Linked DNA regions of Caenorhabditis elegans. The protein of the gene in region 2 interacts with the protein of the main gene of each other region in a pairwise test. Each region holds a gene or a part of one and is shown on either strand. Other genes may lie near its edges. The genes, in order: sel-10 and ifo-1.

Region 1 (8,965 bases), on a different chromosome or scaffold from region 2:
TGACATTAGAAGAAGTATGCTTCTAGTGCAAGTTTCAACAGTTACCTCTAAGTTGGCGAATTTCAGATGCCATTCCGTAATAGTATAAGATAACTATGAAGTTGATGGCAAATGCTTGAAATATGATTCTGTTTTTTGAACTGAAACAGTTTAAGCATTAAAGGAAGCATTGAAATCAATACAAAATTAAAATTGAAAAACAAAAAACTAAACCATTGAGGTCTGAAACATTCTTAGTTTAAAAAGTGAGTATTTTGCAATAAAACACATGCTTTGGCTTCTAAATTCACAGATTTGAAACGTTACAGAACTTATTTCAGCAATCGAATTAAAAGAAAATTTCCCATAAAATGCTGTAATCATTTTTTCCCTGAAACCTACAGTAGTATCGAGTCCTAATCAACTTACCGATCCGCAGACTGTTTTCTAACAATTTTCAGATTTGTCAGTAGAAATAAATGCCCATTCTTGGTCATGATCATTTGGTAACCATAAAAGATCGTCGTTGTCTTTTGATTCTCGTTTGCCAAATAGAGCAAGACACGGTTGTTTGATGCCAAAACGGAGGGAGTAGACACAAAAATGGGACAGAATAGAGTGTGGAGTGATTTTTAAAATGTAAACATTTCCAGGATATGAGCCACAAAAAGGGATATAGACCGGCAGCAAACATTACTGTACATGATGTATGAAAAAAAGAATGCCGACCAATCAAAATCACATTGAACGATGGTTGTGTCTGGATCTCAATGATCTCGGATGAAAATGGGAGTAATTAAATTGTGCCTAAAAGTAGTTTCAAAGTTGCATCCATTTTTGATGCTTCCACTTCAACTTTTGAACACACGTAGATTACCAGAATTTCAAATCGGATCAGAAAGTAAATACCGTAGTTCTTTTGTTGTAGGGGTGGGCGGTAATCAAGGAATTTTCTAAAAAATGTTCAATTTCGGCAATTTCTGAACATGCCGTTTTTCGATAAACCAACAAACAGATCATCATATTGTAATCAAAAAGTTTGTAAGTTGGCCATTTATATTTGAAAATAAATAAAGCTCTACAAAAATAATACATTTGTTTTTCTGAAATACCCATTTTTAATAATTTGTGGGCAACATATAATAGTCTTAACAACAGACTGAACACTTTTTAATTTTAAATCAGGTATACCCACTATTTCATTTTCTAGACACCATACCGAAAACCCTAAATTTTGGCAACACGTATGATGTTGGTATTTGATTTTATCCTTAAATTTACAATTAGAGCTCATTTTTATTCTGTTTTTGTTTCTATAGTTTTGCAGTTCAAATTTTAATTATAATGTGAAAATCTTCCAAGAAAACATTTTTTCAGCTTTCCAAAATCGTTCTACAGAAATTTCCGAATTGGTCAGGTCTCTTTCAACTAATCGAATTTTTTGACATACTGGAGCTGGACTAGTATCAAAATTGCCAAATTATTTTAATTTAATTATTTTCATGTTTCGTCGTCCTTTTTTTATCGAAATGATATAGGTAGAAAGGCGTGAAAATAAAAATATATTTCACGAATTTATTGTCTGATACCAACGTCATTCTTGAATAGATTTGGATTTTATTTCAGTTTTTATTTCACTAAATAAACATATCAAAAGTGTTGGAAATTGTGGCTCCTCCTGAAGTCGAACAATCGGAATTTCCGTTTTCAGAGAATGTAGGCTATTTCAAATAATCGTATTTTTCGGTTTTGTGCAATTTCTAGCATATTGAATATATATCTTGCAAATGTGATGTGTTGCTGACAAATATGAATTTTAACTTTCGCTGATAAATATCAGTACAATTTATGAATTGAATCCTCTCAATCACATCTCAATTCTTTCATATTCGTCCCCCCGCAATACAAAGCCAATAAAGTGTGAAAAACAAAGAAATGGAGCAAATAGTGAGCTATGACTCAACTAACGTATTTCAGATGGGAATTGCAGTTTAGTCATGAATGTGTTATCATATCAGAAATAGTTCTTGACATTTGTGAAGAAATATTATACAGAAATTCCAAAGCGATTGTTTCCAATTGTGGCAGGTGTTCGTGTCTCTTTTTCTGTCAGTTTATGGTATTCATTTCCATAAAATTACCCCCTCGGTAGCCACAGATGGTCATAATTCTTTTGAATTCAGTTATGGAAATACCACATTACGTTCAGAATGTTACAGATTTTAAATCATTTTTCTTTTGTGGTTGTAAATTGAATCACTTGTTTTAAAAAACCATATTACCTATATGTATTATTTTATTCAAAAACTGAATTAATATACTCAGTTTAAAATTTCAAAACAAGAGTTTTCGTGGGATGCAGTTCGTTTTTTAAATTCCTTATTATCCTGAAATTTATAAGGATGGTTTACTTGTGCAATACGAAACAACCTTTCCGTAAAAATGATTTTGAAACAAGGTTGAACACATTTTTCTGCACCATCATGAAGGACGAGAACCCAGCTGTCATATGCAACAGCAGTGACCATCGAACACCTGCTTCTTCTGTGAAACTGATTATGTGACCGACAAGTCGGACATTTTATATTTTATTTTACACGAGAATATTTGTTGAAGTTATCTTATCAACTTTATACACTTTATATGCATAGAAAATGTTTCATCGTGTGAACATCAAGTGAACAAACGTGCGCGTCGGAAAATGCGTCAAGCGGTTATTGGCGCACTACTGGATGCCTTGACGCATATCGCGTGCAAAAAGCTTTCATCTTCTCTTCTCATTTTCTCACGAAAATCATAGTTTTATCGACTTTCCTTTTGTGTTCAAATTCTTCATTCCCAGTAGTTTTTGTCCTTTATTCATTTCCAATTCTTTTTCAGCCATATGTGGCCACGAAATGATGTACACATGGATGATGGATCGATGACACCGGAGGACCAGGAGCCTGTTACCGATAATGATATGGAATATAATGTATGTTAACATTTACAACCCTTTTCAGAATATAATTTAATTCTAATTGAAATGTTTGTCTTCAGGACAATGGAGAAGAAAGCTCGTACAGCAATGGCTCTTCTTCCAGCTACAATGCTGACAAATTATCGTCGTAAGCCTTTTTGTAGTGAATATTTATAGCAAAACGTACCAGTTCCAGACCTTTGCAACACAAACTTGATTTATCGGCTTCTCCCTCTCGAAACAACGACCTCAATCCGCGTGTCGAACATTTGATCGCATTATTCAAGGTAAACATATTGATTGATTGTCGCGATCAATCTTTCAGCGTTGCGGCTAATACACATGCAATAAATTAATATTTGAATGCGACAATAATTAGTAACATGACAAAACAATGCATTCAAGCTCCGGTGAGGGTGACCTGTGTATTATTGATTTTTCCAAACCTTGAAGAGAGCACCTCAGCCAGGCATATTCGCTCTATTTTTGCTGAAAAAAAGTGTAATTTGAATTCATTTTAGGATCTATCAAGCGCGGAACAAATGGATGCATTCACACGTCTGCTTCAGGAATCCAACATGACAAATATTCGACAGCTGCGTGCCATTATTGAACCCCATTTCCAGCGTGATTTCCTCTCCTGCCTCCCTGTCGAGGTATTTGTGTTGAAACGGAAAGAAAAATTATAAATATAACTTTTTCAGCTCGGAATGAAAATCCTTCACAATTTAACCGGATATGACCTGCTCAAAGTGGCACAGGTGTCGAAAAATTGGAAATTGATATCTGAAATTGACAAAATTTGGAAGAGTCTTGGTGTCGAAGAGTTTAAACATCATCCAGATCCCACGTAATACTTTTGAACGGGAATTATTTGAGATTAGTATTATCTTTTCAGAGACCGAGTTACTGGTGCGTGGCAAGGAACTGCAATTGCTGCTGGAGTCACTATTCCTGATCACATTCAGCCATGTGATCTTAATGTTCATCGATTTCTAAAGTTGCAGAAGTTTGGAGAGTACGTTTATTGGAAATATTATTTTTAAAGACGTTCCGATCACATTCGATTTATTTTCAGTATCTTCGAACGCGCTGCTGACAAGTCACGTTATCTTCGAGCCGATAAAATTGAAAAGAACTGGAATGCGAATCCAATTATGGGGTCAGCAGTGCTACGAGGACACGAAGATCATGTAATCACTTGTATGCAAATTCATGATGATGTCTTGGTGACTGGATCTGACGATAACACTCTTAAAGTATGGTGTATTGACAAAGGAGAGGTTATGTACACACTAGTCGGCCACACTGGAGGAGTTTGGACATCACAGATTTCTCAATGCGGAAGATATATTGTTAGCGGGTCCACTGATAGAACTGTAAAAGTTTGGAGTACTGTAGATGGTTCACTTCTTCATACACTTCAAGGACATACTTCCACTGTTCGATGCATGGCTATGGCTGGTTCCATGTAAGGCTATTCACTATGATAACTGCTTGGAAAAAGAAATTTAATACTGAAAATTTCGGGTTTCGTACAGTTGAATTCCCTAATTTGCGAGCTATATCAAATCTTGATGGAAAGTTTTTGATTTGTAGATCATTTATATCTTAAGAAAATTATTCTATCTAATTTCACAAAAAAAGTTTATGGTAATTTTTTTAAAACTTTTGTTTCAAAATAGAAAAACACGAACGTGTATTTGGTTGTTTAAGACTTTTTTAATACATTTTCTATCTTAAAAATGAGAAGAAAACGAAAAATCTCGCTGAATAACCACACTTTCAACCCATACATTTTAATTTTAATACTTTCAGACTTGTCACTGGATCACGAGATACCACTCTTCGTGTATGGGACGTAGAATCCGGACGTCACCTGGCAACTTTACATGGCCATCATGCAGCCGTTCGATGCGTTCAATTCGATGGAACAACTGTTGTTTCGGGAGGATATGATTTTACCGTTAAAATTTGGAATGCTCATACTGGGAGATGTATCCGTACTCTGACCGGTCATAACAATAGAGTTTATTCTCTTCTCGTACGTTTTTCTTATAACAAAATCCGAAAAATAATGTTTTTGTTTTCAGTTTGAAAGCGAGCGATCGATCGTGTGCTCTGGCTCTCTGGACACTTCAATTCGCGTGTGGGATTTTACACGACCGGAAGGCCAAGAATGTGTGGCTCTTTTGCAAGGACACACCTCACTTACATCCGGAATGCAACTTCGAGGCAATATTCTCGTGTCATGCAATGCAGATAGCCATGTTAGAGTAAGTATAGAGATGTAAGATTGAGAAACTTGTCATAGTTAAACATTTGTACGAGAGTCTGAATCGCTCTCCTGTTAAACAATTAGAGACCAATTCCAATTAATAAAATTGGTCCTGATGTTTCACTGCGTTTTCTGTCTCTCTGCGGCTGTTTCTACAAAAGCCAATATTCGATGGCAAACAAAGGTGTACGGATCTGAAATGATTTTCAAAAGTATGGAAAAGCACAAAAGCGTAGTAGATAAAGTAACCCTCACATTGTGAGAACATTGAAAAATTGTATTATTTTTTTAAATCATTTTTTCAGGTATGGGATATTCACGAGGGAACTTGTGTACACATGCTTTCTGGACATCGATCCGCTATCACTTCACTTCAATGGTTTGGACGAAATATGGTAGCAACGAGTAGTGACGATGGAACTGTCAAATTGTGGGATATTGAGAGAGGTTAGATCACATAAATTACAGATAGTTTTACCCATAAAAAAATTTTCCAGGTGCACTGATTCGAGATCTAGTAACTTTGGATTCTGGAGGCAATGGTGGCTGTATTTGGAGACTTTGTTCTACTTCTACGATGCTAGCGTGTGCAGTCGGATCTCGTAACAACACCGAGGAGACCAAAGTTATCCTTCTCGACTTTGATGCTGTATACCCTTAACGAATTCTCGAATCTCTGCCCCTGTACATAGAATGTTCTTGCTTAGGAACTAATATTGTACACGATGCCCTCATTTTTAAATCAACAATGCTATCATATCATGGAATATAGTCAAAAGCCAACAGTATTGAAACGTCAAATTTGAGGAAAAACGAATTTATGTGTCTATTCAACTCGTTATATCCCGGCCCGCCACTATAATTTTTCTTTTTTTTACTATTTTTTGTCAGATTCTGTCTCACACTCTTCTCTTTCTCTTTTCGATTGTTTCCCATTAAGTTATCGGGTTTGATTGATTTTATATTTTTATTCAAATGATGGGCTCACTACTCCCAGATTTTGATTTCCTTTATACAATAGTTCAGTCAGTATGTTAGTCCTTATGTGACTTCTTTTTGATCTAATGAGCTTTTTAGTCCCTGTCGGTTCCCTCTTTTTTCGCTTTCATTTTTCGTAAAAACTACTTGTCAAAATTCAAAGTTCTACCCTCGACATTGCCTTTTTTAAAATTTTTGTCTTCGTTTTATCGACTTATGCCAGACGTCATTCGATTAAGTAGGTTAATAACAATTATTTCATAATAATAAATATCGATTCGTGTCATCCGTCTATATGTGATTTTCTTTTAATATCTCTATTGGAGATTTCTCCAAATTATCCTGTAATTTTTCAGTGAGTGAATATCAGCTTTATGAAGTTTGTGTCTAAATTTTTGACCCCAACTACAATAATTAGTTTAACAACCAGAAGTCTATCAACAGCAAAAACTCCAACATACATCATGAATCAAATTGAGCCAACTACAATGAAAATTGATAATGAAGATTTTCGGCAAGTTCCGGATATTTGAAGAATCGTTTTAAGTTTAATTCTATATTTTTCAGAACTCTCTTCACACCTCAACTTTTGAAACTCCGTGATTTATTCGCCAAACGAAATTATGAGCTTCGAATTGCCGGTGGAGCTGTTCGAGATCTACTTATGAACATTCGACCGGCTGACGTTGACTTTGCCAGTACTGCAACACCGACTCAAATGAAGGTTTTAATTGTTTTCCAAATCTCAAAAAAAATATATTTTATTCAGGAAATGTTCGAAGAGGATAAAATTAGAATGCTTCATAAAAGAGGCGAAGAGCACGGAACAATCACGTGTCGCATTGACGATTGTGAAAACTTTGAGGTATTTAGTTTTTAGTTTAATAAATTTAATCTATATACATTTTCCCAGATCACAACGCTTCGTGTAGACATTGTGTGTGATGGAAGAAGGGCTCAAGTTGAATACACAACTGACTGGCAACTTGATGCAAATAGAAGAGATCTTACTATCAATTCACTGTTTTTGGGTTAGTATAGAAATTGGAAATTGAAAGCACTCCGCCCCCGAACCATGGGTCTCGTTAGGAATTGTCAGCAAAACCGTAAATTGAAACTTTCAATTAGTTTCGGCACTTCCGCCAAATTTCAAACATTTTCTGTTTTTTCCTGTTTTTAAAAATAATTTTTATACGGAATTGGATTTAAAATTTATAGTAATATGAAAACCCATTATTCACCTTTCAAATCCGCATAAATTTTTTCAAATCATCATTAGGAAATGAAAAATAATCAAAAACAACAGAAAATCGCCGAAATTAATTGAAAACGTGTGCATTCACGGGCTTTCCGCTAAATACCTAACGAGACCCATAGTTTGTGGGCGGAGTTTTTCAATTGGCAATGGAGCGCGTTCCCATAATATTATATTCTTTGCTCATGAAATATTGGAATTTCTTTTACAGATCTTCATGGAAACGTTGTCGACTATTTCGGTGGAATCAGAGACATTGAAACTCGGCGCATCGCTTTTGTTGGAGACGCTCGTCAGAGAATCCAGGAGGACTATTTACGAATTCTTAGGTTTTTACAATTATCATACATTTTCCTGTTATCAAAATCTCTATATTTCAGATATTTCCGTTTCTTTGGACGAATCAGTGACTGTACGGAACACGAGCACGACACAATTCAGGCGATTGTAGAGAACAAGGATGGTATGGCGGGAATAAGTGCCGAGAGAATTTGGACAGAACTCAAAAAGATTGTGGTTGGAAGAATGGCTGATGAGGTGTTAAAAGCGATGATTGAACAATGTGAATTACAAAAATATCTGGGACTTCCGAAGGAATGCAATCTAGAGAGATTTCATACAGTTTTTAATAGGTTTTCAAAAACTGTCGAGCCAATGACAATGATTGCATGCCTGTGTGAGGATGAACATCAAATCGCCGAATTTCATCGTATTACGAAGCTCTCGAACGATGAACGTCTCCTCGGTGAATTCATTCTTAGTGAACGACAATCTGCTGTTGAGAATTTAAAAAACGATGACTGGTGGATTGATAGAATTGTTGATTTGGAAGTACGTCCTGGTCACGAGAATCAACAGGATCGACTTCGTCAGCGACTTGTCCAACTTGCCAAAAGTGTGCTCGCTGATGAAGAAAGAATTCAAATGATTGAGAATTTTGAAGCTCCCAAGTTTCCAATAACTGGTTGGTTTTTTTTTGTAATATTGAATTAGAAATATTCAAAATTTTCCTATTCCAGGTCGTGATCTGATGGAAGCTGGTGTTCGAAAAGGTCCTCACGTCCGAAATGTACTCTATTATCTTTACAATTTATGGAAAGAATCAAGATTCACTGAAAGCAAATATTCTTTATTGGAGCGTGCCAAAGACTCGGACATTCCGGATTTGTCGAAAGAACGCCGAAAGTCGATATCCCCAAAACGTTAATTCGTTGTCCAAATTTTTTTTGAATTTGTTATTGTTTCTTTTGGAATATAAATTATTGTTGATCGAAATTTGCGTTCTTGCAATCAAATATCGATATTACACCACTTTAACAAGAGAGCTACATAAGTAGTCCTGAATTTTTAAAATATAGCTGGAAACTTCTGCTTTTTGTGTTCTGACTCATTTTCACAGTATCTACGGATATAGTCATGAAATTGAAGTAAATTTCAGTTAAGTCTCGAATTTCAAAAATTGGGACAGATCTAACTGGTTACTGTAGTTTTTCGTGGTGATGCAAAATCATTGAAA
Region 2 (10,600 bases):
GGAAAGCTACGTACGGATGTTTATCATGTCACTCACAGAGTTTACTGTATTTTTTGAGCAATTGGAAGAATGTGAGCATACCGTTATTGGAAAGGTAGGCTTACACTTTTTTTAAAACAATTCTAGACTAGAAAGATCATCGAAAAATATAGAATTTTTGATTTTCAGATAACATTCGTAGTCTATATGCTTCTCGTAACACTTTTGCTCATTAACATGCTTATTGCTATGATGACTAATACTTATACAGAAGTCTCTGGAAATTCATTAGAGTGGCTTCGACAATGGTCTGCAATTATTCTAATGATGGAACAAAGTTTTGATCCAGCAACCAGGTTACGGTATCAAAGAAGATATGGAATACGTTTTGATGGAGGTGAAAAACTAGTTTTATTGTTAAAAGATAAAATGACAGTGAGTTCCTCTTACACATTTGCCAATAGTTTGATGATAAATTTAAGGAGGAAGAATTCGAGTGCCAGCGGAAGAAAATGCACGAAGAGCGTCGTAAATTCCGTGAGGAACTTCGCACAAACCAGAGAAGACGGCCAGTATTTATATGCAAGCAAGGAGCAAATTATTTCAAATCGAAGCATCGACATACTAATAATAAGTTGATTATTCCTACCGGCTAATTTTTTTTACTGTTTCATTCTCTTCCTAAAATAATTTGTCTAATAAATGTTGGATCTTGTTAGTGAAAAATGTGGAAAGTTGATGTTTCTTCTTTGATTCCTCAATCTTGCTTTTTTAGAAACCTTTAAATTTGGCAGTGGAAAACTTTAAATGAAATGGATGTCTCAAATAGTTTCCGGATTTAATATGTTGCATTCAAATATTTTTATTTAAGACTGTTTAATTTAGAACATTTTAAAAGTGTTTTTTACTATTTTTTGGTACTGTTGCAGTAACCATAATCAAGTATAACGATATGAAAACTTTCAAAACGAACTGCTCAGCCAGTCCACAAGCGGCATACTGTTAGTTTATTTCGGCAAATTTTGTCAGTTCAATTTGAAAATTTATTTATTAAAAAAGGATTAAGAACTCACCCAAGAGAATGCCCATCGTTTTTAGTGTTATTTCTAGTGTTATACCAAGTCAATTCAGATATTTCAAAAAATGCAACATTCTCTGATGTGCCTTCTTCTTTTCTTTGCTTTGCTCTCCAAAAATGACTAACGAGTGGAATGTTATCTTATCAAAAACTGCATCATTCAGCATTTGACAAGAGTTTCACTGGCGCTGAAATCAACATTTTCACTTCTCGACTCTTCCTAACTTTTTTTCTAAAATTGCTCATTACTTCTATAGATTAACTTTTTAGTTTTGATTTAGTTTGGGTCAACAAAAATGAGTAGTATTCGATACAGGAGACCACCAATCATAGAACGAAGATATGAAAGAACTCCATCATATTCGGTAACTTCAAGAATATTCGATTTCAGTAATAAAACTGTTTTCAGACGATTCCAAGGGATATTCATGTCTCATTCTACCATAATAACTATCACAGATCAAAGATTTTGTATTTGAATAAGTTCAACGCAATGGAAAAATTAATTGAAGCTGCACACGAATTGTATCCATCAAATGGTGTTTATCGTCTATTTTCGGGTGAGTTTTTTGAAATGAAAAAATATTTGTAATAATTTTTTAATAGATAGTACAATTGGTGCTCAAAACGAGTTGAATGATTCAGTGCAAGTTATGGAATGTGTTCAAAATCCTGATCATATTCTTCCACATCTACATATAAGACTGGAAGGTAAGATTTTACGGAAAACTTTTTAAAAAACAGTTCCATAGTCCTATTATAACAACCTTGTTAGTTCTTTGTTAGATAATCTTACAATTTGAAAATTCAATTATTCAAATTAAGTTTTTTTAAAAAAAGGAACAATGATCTTTCAAAGTATTTTTTATTTTCAAATTTTGAGAAATTTCAAGTTGTTTTGCAAAGGTGTGTTCTTATGTAACTCAAAACTAATAGTAACAAAATTTTTAAAAATTTAATTTTTCAGATTACCGTCCCAGAAGCATAAGCCGTAATTATCACGAAGTTAACGTTCCAATAATTCGAACTCCATCTCAACATTCAATCCATCAATCTGTTCGATTCAACGATAACAAACGTCATCACCATCATCATCATCATGATTCAATAAGAAACTTCGTCCATCATGACACTCCATGCCGAAACTGTTTCCGTATAATTGTTGGAAGCCGTTATCACTGTCTTCAATGTCCAGACTATGATATTTGTGGAGACTGTGAAAAAGATTTGGTTCACTACGAGCATGCTCTTCTACGAATTGTGACTCCAAGGGTTACAAGTATTCCTGATTATGTCACAGTTAACGCCCCAAGTTACATTTTCCCAGAACATCGTTATGATATCAAAAGAGAACATTATCATTGGTTTTAAATTGTATTTTATAGTTTTGTTGTTTTTCCTATTTATGTTGTGAACTTAGTTTTTCTGTCGGATTTCTGTCCTATCTTGTTATACTTAAAAAGACCAAAAAAGTTATGTAATTGCAGAAGTGCAAAAAACCAAGACGCATCCTCCATTCAATTTTAATTTCCTGAAATCTATCTCGCAAAAAAAAAAACAAAAAAAAAAATTCCCTCTTATTTTGAATTTTAAAATTAAATTTTTCTTGTGCTTTTCAGAAATCTGTTCCAATTGAATTTTCATTCCTATTGACTTGTAGGACTAGAATTAATAACACCGCGGACCACCTTTATTGAGAATTTCAAAAACATTTTGTAGGCCATGTTTCCAATTTTTAATTGTCTTAAAATTAACACAATGTTTCAAAATTTCTATTTTAATTGGCTCCATAGAACACTTTTCCATGTAATTAGAAAATGCCTACCTGCCTGACACCTAGAAAGTGACCAACGCTTACTGTGCATTGAAAGCATGCAAGTAGGCATTTTTGCATGCGTGGGAGGTTTCTACAACTCAGCCAAAGCAGTCTATTGTACCTACCCATTCCTTATTTATTCTTCCGCAATCACCAATGACGCGTTCATGATTTTTCACTTTTTCAAAAACAAAATTTGATTGTCACTGCCCTTATTAACTTTTGCCCACGCTTATTAAATTAGTTTCACTCCTGCAATTCAAATCCTACTAAAACCTCTCTGAAAATGTTATTTCTCCTTTTTGTTCAATAAAACTCAAATTTGAACATATTCTGATTCTGAGTTACACAAATATTTTCAGTCCCTTCAACCTATCATAAACTTTGATATTTGCTCAACATTTTGGAGAAAGCGATGAAGGAGTCAAAAACGGGCGGCCCCGTTGCATTCCTCCTCCAAACGCACCAAAAACTGATAAGATGTTGTTAAGAAGAAGAAGGCACCAAAGAAAGATTCTCTTATCACATTTTTTGGCAGAGAGGGAAAGAATTGCGCCTATTTCAGTTGATTGTTCACCCACCATTTACTACACTATTCCAACATTTTTATTGACTCTTTTCGTTGGAATTTTCCATCGAGTTCAAGGAATACTACTTCCACTCTACCTTTTCAAACTTCTTTGTTGTTTGCTTAATTTTTTCCTAACTTTTTCACGACTGAAATTACGAATTCTCAAGTTCAACTGTCCGTTGTACAAAATTCGAATACGATTTCAGCATGGGAGACCTACAAGTCGACTTGAATGCAGCACTTGTAGCCGTTAAACAGAAATGTGTGGACTTGGATGAACAAATTCGAAGAGAGAATGATGTAAGTTGTGTTCAAGATCCATAGAAAATGTAAATTTTCTGGTTTTTTCAGAGATCAGAAAATCGCGGACGTGGATATCTGGGAGTTCGTCGATACATCTATGCATTGACCACCAAGAAGAATGAGGTCTGTTTTTATTTTAAAAGTGTTTTTTTTTTGAAAGAGCTGGCATTAATTTTATTTTGGACTAATTTTTCAAAATTCCGCAATTCGCCTACGATATTTGCAACTCATTGCTCTACTTTGACAGCTCTCGGTTCACTTTGGGTTTATGTTATCAAAAAATTGCCAACTGACAAAATACGCGCATACTATTTTTTCTATATTTTGCTTATTAAACAACTGTTATAAAAGACAACCAAGATATAAATAAAGCAGTTTGGGTGCAAGTCTAATAGTGAAAATACGGTAAATGTGCACTTAACTTTTAATCATTTTTTCTGATTTAATTTCGATGTTTCACACAAAAACCACAAAACACAAAAGTTTAGTATTTTAGAGAAACTATGTTTTCCAAATTTCGACCTCAACTTTGACTCATTCTTAATCCCCTCCTACCTTCCAAAAATTTAATTAGTCATCATAATTGCGGATTGCAAATGCCACAGTGCGTAGTAAAATATCAAAATTTCGGCCGCAATCACTGATAACAGATGCCATTTCTTTTTGTTTAGAAGCATTGTGCAAGTGTCATAAAATGAGAAGGAAGTAGGCGATTCGGGGTGATGATGACGTGGCAAACATTGAAAGTATTTTCAGAACCATCTACAACGACGTGGGCGATCTTTGACAAGGGTGTACGTGGAACAAAAGTTTTACAGATCTGTGAGTTTTTGAAAATGAGAAAGTTGTTTTTGTTATTTTTGGGTTGGGTACAAATTCGTATCATTCTGAAGAACAGGTGTTATAATGCTTTGATAAATCGTTAATACGATATTGAACTTTTCAAGACTATTTTTGAAGACTATTTTAGAAGATGATTGTGCATTGTACATAGAATTACCAATGTGATAAACTGTATGTAAAAAAACTACCAGAAATGTTTTAATGCTTCATCTATTTTTTGTTTTTAAAAAAACAGCAAAAAAGGTTATTTCATAGTTCAATATTTATGAAACAAATAGTAAAAGAGTGCAAACATTTAGAATTAAAAAACAACAAAAATGCAGAAAATAAACGTTTTCGATATTTAAGTTTTTCAAATAAAATCAACGAAATAAATATTCATAATTCCTCCTTTCAGAAATCTGTACCATCTCCGGATCAAGTTCAACGCCTCGAGGATTGCACACAGGATTACGGACCAAATGATGAAGAACGCCTGGAATACGTGGAAACTGTTGATGCTCCATTGGAAGAGCTCATTAAAGAAGATCAGTCTCATCGCCATGTCGTCTCACAAAGACTTCCACAAGGGCACGGAGAATGGGATCATGAACTTGCAGTTTATGAAGAAGATGGTGGTTCTGGGCTTTTGGAGGATCGAACACTGACTGTGAGAGCTGGAGATCATCCTTTCGGAATGAATCAATTCAACGAAGTGGCAGAGGATATTAGTGCAAGAATCGCCAAGTTTTTTGCTGAGAAAGAAGAGAACCACATCAGAACTCGTGAGCTTTCTCTTTCAGTTCATCCAGTTTATCATCAAAGTAATGGAGATGCATACACTTCATTTGGAATGTCCAGGTCAAAATCAATGGGATCAGTTGCTCACGAAGCACATCAAACATCTAACAATCAACATAGTTCTGAAACTCATGGAACTGCTTCTTCAACTCAGTCACGACCACGTTTGGATCAAGTCTCTTCCACTACAAAGTCCTTAAGCAATTTGTTTAGTGTTGACACTCGTCATGACTACAATTCTCGATATGGAAATTATGTATCTGGATATGGACATTATGGAACACCACTTCCACCAGCGAAAAATCAAGAAGTAATGCCAAAAATGCCAGCGAAGAAGTCGGAGCACATTTATGATGAGCCAATTCATAGAACATCTACCACAAATGTGTATTCAAGCACTTATGAGAGAAAATATGACTTCAAGTGAGTACCAAATCTGTAATTGATTGCTAAACTTTTTTATAGAACAACATTCCCACCAGAAATCGAAATGCCAGAAGGATATCACGATTATTATGATCCGAGCAAGTTCATGTTCTTGGATGCAAAAGGTTATTATCAGGTGAGCAAAAAAAACTTGAATTGGAAGACAATTTTTGAATACTTGACTTGTAAATTTAATAGAACCAAATTATTCTCAGTCCATCCAATTTTTTTCAGGGCAACATCACTCGCCCACTTCACTATTCCTACTCTCGTGACTATCTAGAAAAGTACTCGGACTACGACGGAACATCACGACTTCCATCTCCAGCTCCTCCAAAGACCCCGGAGCCAGCATACACTGTGCTCAATAGATCAGAAGATCTCCCACATCACCCTACCCATTTGTCTTTCTCGTTCCCAGACTATTACGATCACGCCACTCAAATCATTCTCAGTCGTGATCCTGGACTTGAACATATTCCATATAAAATTGGGCCATTTGCTGATTACTATGACAATGTTCATCGTATCATTCTGTCGCATACCAAAGATTTGGATCATTGTAAAATTGTAATTCCGTCGTTCCCAGATTACTATGATCTGTCAACTAGATATGAAGTGCTTCATCGAGTTGAAGACATTCTTCATGAGCCAATTGTGATCGAGGAATATCCGGCATATTGTCCATATGAAGACACGAAATATGAAGTACAAGAGAAATCTGTGACATTGGACGATGAGCATATATACGAGGAAGTGTATGAACCTCCACTACCTCCACTTCCACCTCCAGCACCACCAATAGTTGTTCATGTTCTGAACTACACTAGAGATCACGATCACATTGTATTCGTCCCATTGCTTCCTTACATTCCACCACCACCTCCACCTCCAGCAGAGATTATTCACGTTGCAACTCCAGCTGAAGTAATTGAAGAAGAACCAGAGCCAGTTCCAGTGCCAGCTAAACGTCATTATGATGATCTTTATATCGGAAATGACGCTCTTGATGTATCAGTGTCTCCACATTTTAATCAATCCAATGATCAAAAGAATTTGGGATTAGAAAAGAGTGTCACTGATAGAGTTAGAGAAATGGAAAGAGCAATGAGAGGAGAAGAAAGGGAAAGACTTTTGGAAGAAGAAAAGCGAAGGAAATATCTGGAACTTCAGAATGAGATTAAGGCAGCACGGGAATACGAAGAAGAACATGCATATGAAGAGATTCAAGAAAGTGAGTTGACTTTTGATTGAATAATAAGTTAAGAAGCAACGATTCCGCCATAAAAGCAAAGTTGATACGTAGAATAGGTTGTATTCAAACGAAATATGAAATTTCCAATCGAATTATAGAAACTTCTACCCCATCTTCACCTTGTAAGATTAAATGTGATAAAAGGAAATTACCAAATCGTGAGTGTGTTGTAGAATTTGACTAGAAATGGAAGATGAAATAGATAATAGTAGTATAGATTTCCCTGCAATCTTCGGTGAAAATGACAGCTTTTTGAATGATATCAATAGCTAAAATTCCCATCATTCCCACCAAATTTTTACTGTTTCAGGCAAGAACACTCCTTGTCCAGTATCACAGCCTATTCTTATTCCATCGGTGTTTGTCCCAGTGGCAGTTCCAGAACCTATCCCGGAGAAACCGAAACGAACATGGCAGCCACCTCCAAAATCCGAAGAATTTTTGGACGAGCATATTGACAAGCCACTTGGCCCTGTCATTTTCCATGAGTTGATCTACCGCAACGGATTTTTGCTTAAAATGAATGAAGAAAATCATATTCTAAGTCAAACCCGTCCAGTCAGTCATCCAGTTTCTCGTGCCAACTCTCGACCAACGACGCCTGGATTAGAGATCAAAACTATCGATTTTCCACGTCTCGATGATGCCGCATCCCCAAGAGATCACTCTGATTCTGCTGGAAATGTTGATTATGTGCATAAACATATCGAACGGTACAATGCGAAGGATGGTAATGATCTGATTAAAACTGTTTATATCTAAGAAAGTGTATTTTCAGCCTCTGTTGTCCAAGATTCTCACGACGAGAGTCGAGCTCATTCGCATATGCTTTCAAATACCGTCCAAACTCATACACATTCTCAATTAATCAATCAGAATCAGGCGACTCATTATGATGCTTATGCTACTTCTCAACACTCGAATGCTCAAGAGTATTCAACTGTTCATGGATCACAAACTCATCGAGGAAGTGTAGTATATGATGAACCACATGGACAAGTTGTCTATGATATTCCACACGATCAAGGTAAAATATTTAAATTATAATTGAAAATATAAAATTTTCTGTTTCAGAACATCACCATTATGACACTGTTCACGTTCAACACCATCATCATCATCATTATCATACAGATGGCAGTGAACATGTTCATCACTATCATCAAGATGAAAATGCTCATCAACACAGTACAGCTGAAAATGAACATATTCATCACTATCACACAACATCAAATGAAAATGCTCACCATCATCACTCGGTTCAAAATGAGAAAGATATTCAATATCAGCTGGCTCAAAGCAACCAATCGATTCGACAAATGAGCAAGACCAACAACTGGGATGAACAAAATATTCAATCATCAAAGAGAGCTCACATTGAGGCACACATTCCGGTTAACTCACCATTTGTGAAAAGAGAAGATTCAAGAGTTAGCACCACTTCTCATGTGAGCACAGCTTCAACTGCAACTACCACGGGAACTGTTGTTCAGTGCTCGAACTCGTTGAATCGCCAAAATATTCCAGCTCCATTGAAAATTCAAAACGGAAACTCAGAGTCCTATCACGGTATGACATGTTTCAAAGAGGTGTTTCTATAAATCTCGTAATTTCAGAACACAATCATCACCAGCATGTGCATTTTGACAGTGTTGAAAATTCGGAAAACATTGCTCATCAATGTAAATCAACAACTTCCTTGGACTACCAGCCAGTTCATGTCGGACATGTCAAAAATTTGGCAAAACTTTTCAAGTTCGTAGATTCTTTTTAATTTCTAGATTTTAATTCTCGAATTCCAGTAAGCCCGACGAGAAGCCACTGACAACTGAGCAAGTGATCTACCGTGTCAGTGCTGCACCACCTGGTCATCACTTGGAACCAGGTATTTGACATTTCGTCAGCTGATTCTTTTTAGTTTCAAAATAATATTCAGAGATTAAACCTCGTCCACGTTCTTTGCCCCGCATTCCACTTGATGAGATTGAACTCCATGAGCATGGAAGTAAAGATCATATGACACGTCATCATCATGAAATGCACCAGGGTACTGTAGATGAGCACAGTGAACATGGTTATTCTATTGGTGGTGGTGCACAAAGGATTGATGTTTCAGCAAGAAGTAAGTTTGAAAAATCTAAAAGAATTATCACCATCCGCTGAACGTCTAATAATAAATATTTCTACAATCAGAATTTTCAGCTTCATCAACAGTGATGCACTCTCCACCTGTCCAAGTTCAACACAACTCATACTATCATCGTCAGTCATCAGACGAGGAGTCAATCCGTGTTCGTCGTGTCTACAAGGCCCTAGATGACACTTCAATGCTCTCTCCGGTCTCCTTGTCCGGCGATGGACCAAATTTTTAAATTCCGAATAAGAAACAATTTCATCTCCGTTGATTTCATTGCCTCTAGACTTTCAAATTGATTCAACAATTCTTAATCTTCCGATTTCGGTCAGAAAATACCTGTCATTTTCAATTTTTGTTTGTATTCCTAACATTTTCTAATAAACTTAACTGTGAAGTCCAGCCCCGCCAAGAATAACGAGCATTTCCTTATGAGGCCCAGGGGGAACATTCAGAACTTGACACTCGAAATTACAATGCAATGAGGGCCGTAAGATTATCTTTTCAGAAAATATATTTTTGAACCAATTTCCAGTTTAATGACCATAGATCATTGCATGCCACTCACCGAAAATTGAAATTTGGCAACAAACATTTTGGATCTTCCAACAAAAAAAAATGCATACACTTGTTCATATTTTTTGCAATGTCCAACGTATCCCTTATGACTAACGTGAAATGTTTATATAAATACATTGTTAGTGTCATAGTCTCTACGCCTTTCTTTTCTTTCTCTGTTTTTTCTCTGCGTCTCTTCATCCCATCCACTATTTTCTCACCTCTAACTCTTCCGGGGGCCCCGTCAACAACGGCCGCCTCCTACCCGGTCGCTGGCGCGCTCTCTTTCTCGTATCTTTTTGTTCTCAATTTCTCAAAATCTCTCTATATTTACCCAGTGCTTCTTAACTTTTTTGTCACACGTCTCTCCACAACGAGGAACAGCCGCAGAACAGAAACAGAAACATACGCGTGCGCGCGCGCCTCTTTCTCTCCGTCGGTCTGCCTGAAAATGAGAGGATGCGGGGGGCTTCTCTGTTCCTCTAACTTCCTGCGTTTCTTCATTTGTTGTCTATCTCTCATTTTTGGGTCGCTTCATTCTCTCTTAGTTCCTCTGTGAGGGAGGCTTGATGAATTGAGTGCATTCTCTCTTTCTCTCATTACGAAAAGGGCATTATCCTTTCGAGCTTCATCTTATTGTCTTTTTCCTTAAAAAATTACCTAAGTGGCCCTTTAACTTCTAGATAGACCTTGGATTTAGACTCTATCGTTTACATCCTCTATTTCAATTAAGCAAAATCCATTTTGCATTCCATATATCATATTATTTCTCACAGAAATAAGCTCTTACTCGAGCAAGTTCCCCAATATAATCCGCCTTATTCCCACCAGCAACCGGATAAACCTTTGAGTTCTGA

The links.
Region 1: the proteins of ifo-1 (region 2) and sel-10 interact in a two-hybrid assay, tested with the Caenorhabditis elegans proteins (3 studies listed by BioGRID).

The regions. Positions count from the first base shown.
Region 1 is NC_003283.11:13,816,502-13,825,466, forward strand, and holds sel-10 (F-box/WD repeat-containing protein sel-10), read left to right. Parts: upstream 1-2,859; 5' UTR 2,860-2,863; coding exon 2,864-2,953; intron 2,954-3,018; coding exon 3,019-3,086; intron 3,087-3,128; coding exon 3,129-3,225; exon of another isoform or gene 3,226-3,348; intron 3,349-3,459; coding exon 3,460-3,594; intron 3,595-3,642; coding exon 3,643-3,788; intron 3,789-3,836; coding exon 3,837-3,956; intron 3,957-4,016; coding exon 4,017-4,409; intron 4,410-4,756; coding exon 4,757-4,982; intron 4,983-5,031; coding exon 5,032-5,214; intron 5,215-5,521; coding exon 5,522-5,663; intron 5,664-5,713; coding exon 5,714-5,877; 3' UTR 5,878-6,479; downstream 6,480-8,965. Other genes in the region: F55B12.2 (Carbohydrate sulfotransferase), read right to left, coding at 46-140, 409-476; hpo-31 (CCA tRNA nucleotidyltransferase 1, mitochondrial), read left to right, coding at 6,659-6,708, 6,762-6,918, 6,964-7,059, 7,108-7,225, 7,661-7,778, 7,830-8,413, 8,469-8,656. UniProt on the Caenorhabditis elegans protein: Probable substrate recognition component of SCF (SKP1-CUL-F-box protein) E3 ubiquitin-protein ligase complex, which mediates the ubiquitination and subsequent proteasomal degradation of target proteins.
Region 2 is NC_003282.8:7,319,714-7,330,313, reverse strand, and holds ifo-1 (Intermediate Filament Organize), read left to right. Parts: upstream 1-3,650; 5' UTR 3,651-3,651; coding exon 3,652-3,744; intron 3,745-3,795; coding exon 3,796-3,870; intron 3,871-4,503; coding exon 4,504-4,569; intron 4,570-4,987; coding exon 4,988-5,793; intron 5,794-5,835; coding exon 5,836-5,932; intron 5,933-6,030; coding exon 6,031-7,030; intron 7,031-7,361; coding exon 7,362-7,781; intron 7,782-7,829; coding exon 7,830-8,078; intron 8,079-8,125; coding exon 8,126-8,620; intron 8,621-8,667; coding exon 8,668-8,806; intron 8,807-8,853; coding exon 8,854-8,936; intron 8,937-8,987; coding exon 8,988-9,173; intron 9,174-9,253; coding exon 9,254-9,423; 3' UTR 9,424-9,580; downstream 9,581-10,600. Other genes in the region: ocr-4 (Ion transport domain-containing protein), read left to right, coding at 1-94, 169-414, 462-635; sqst-2 (ZZ-type domain-containing protein), read left to right, coding at 1,354-1,422, 1,467-1,617, 1,664-1,768, 2,025-2,428.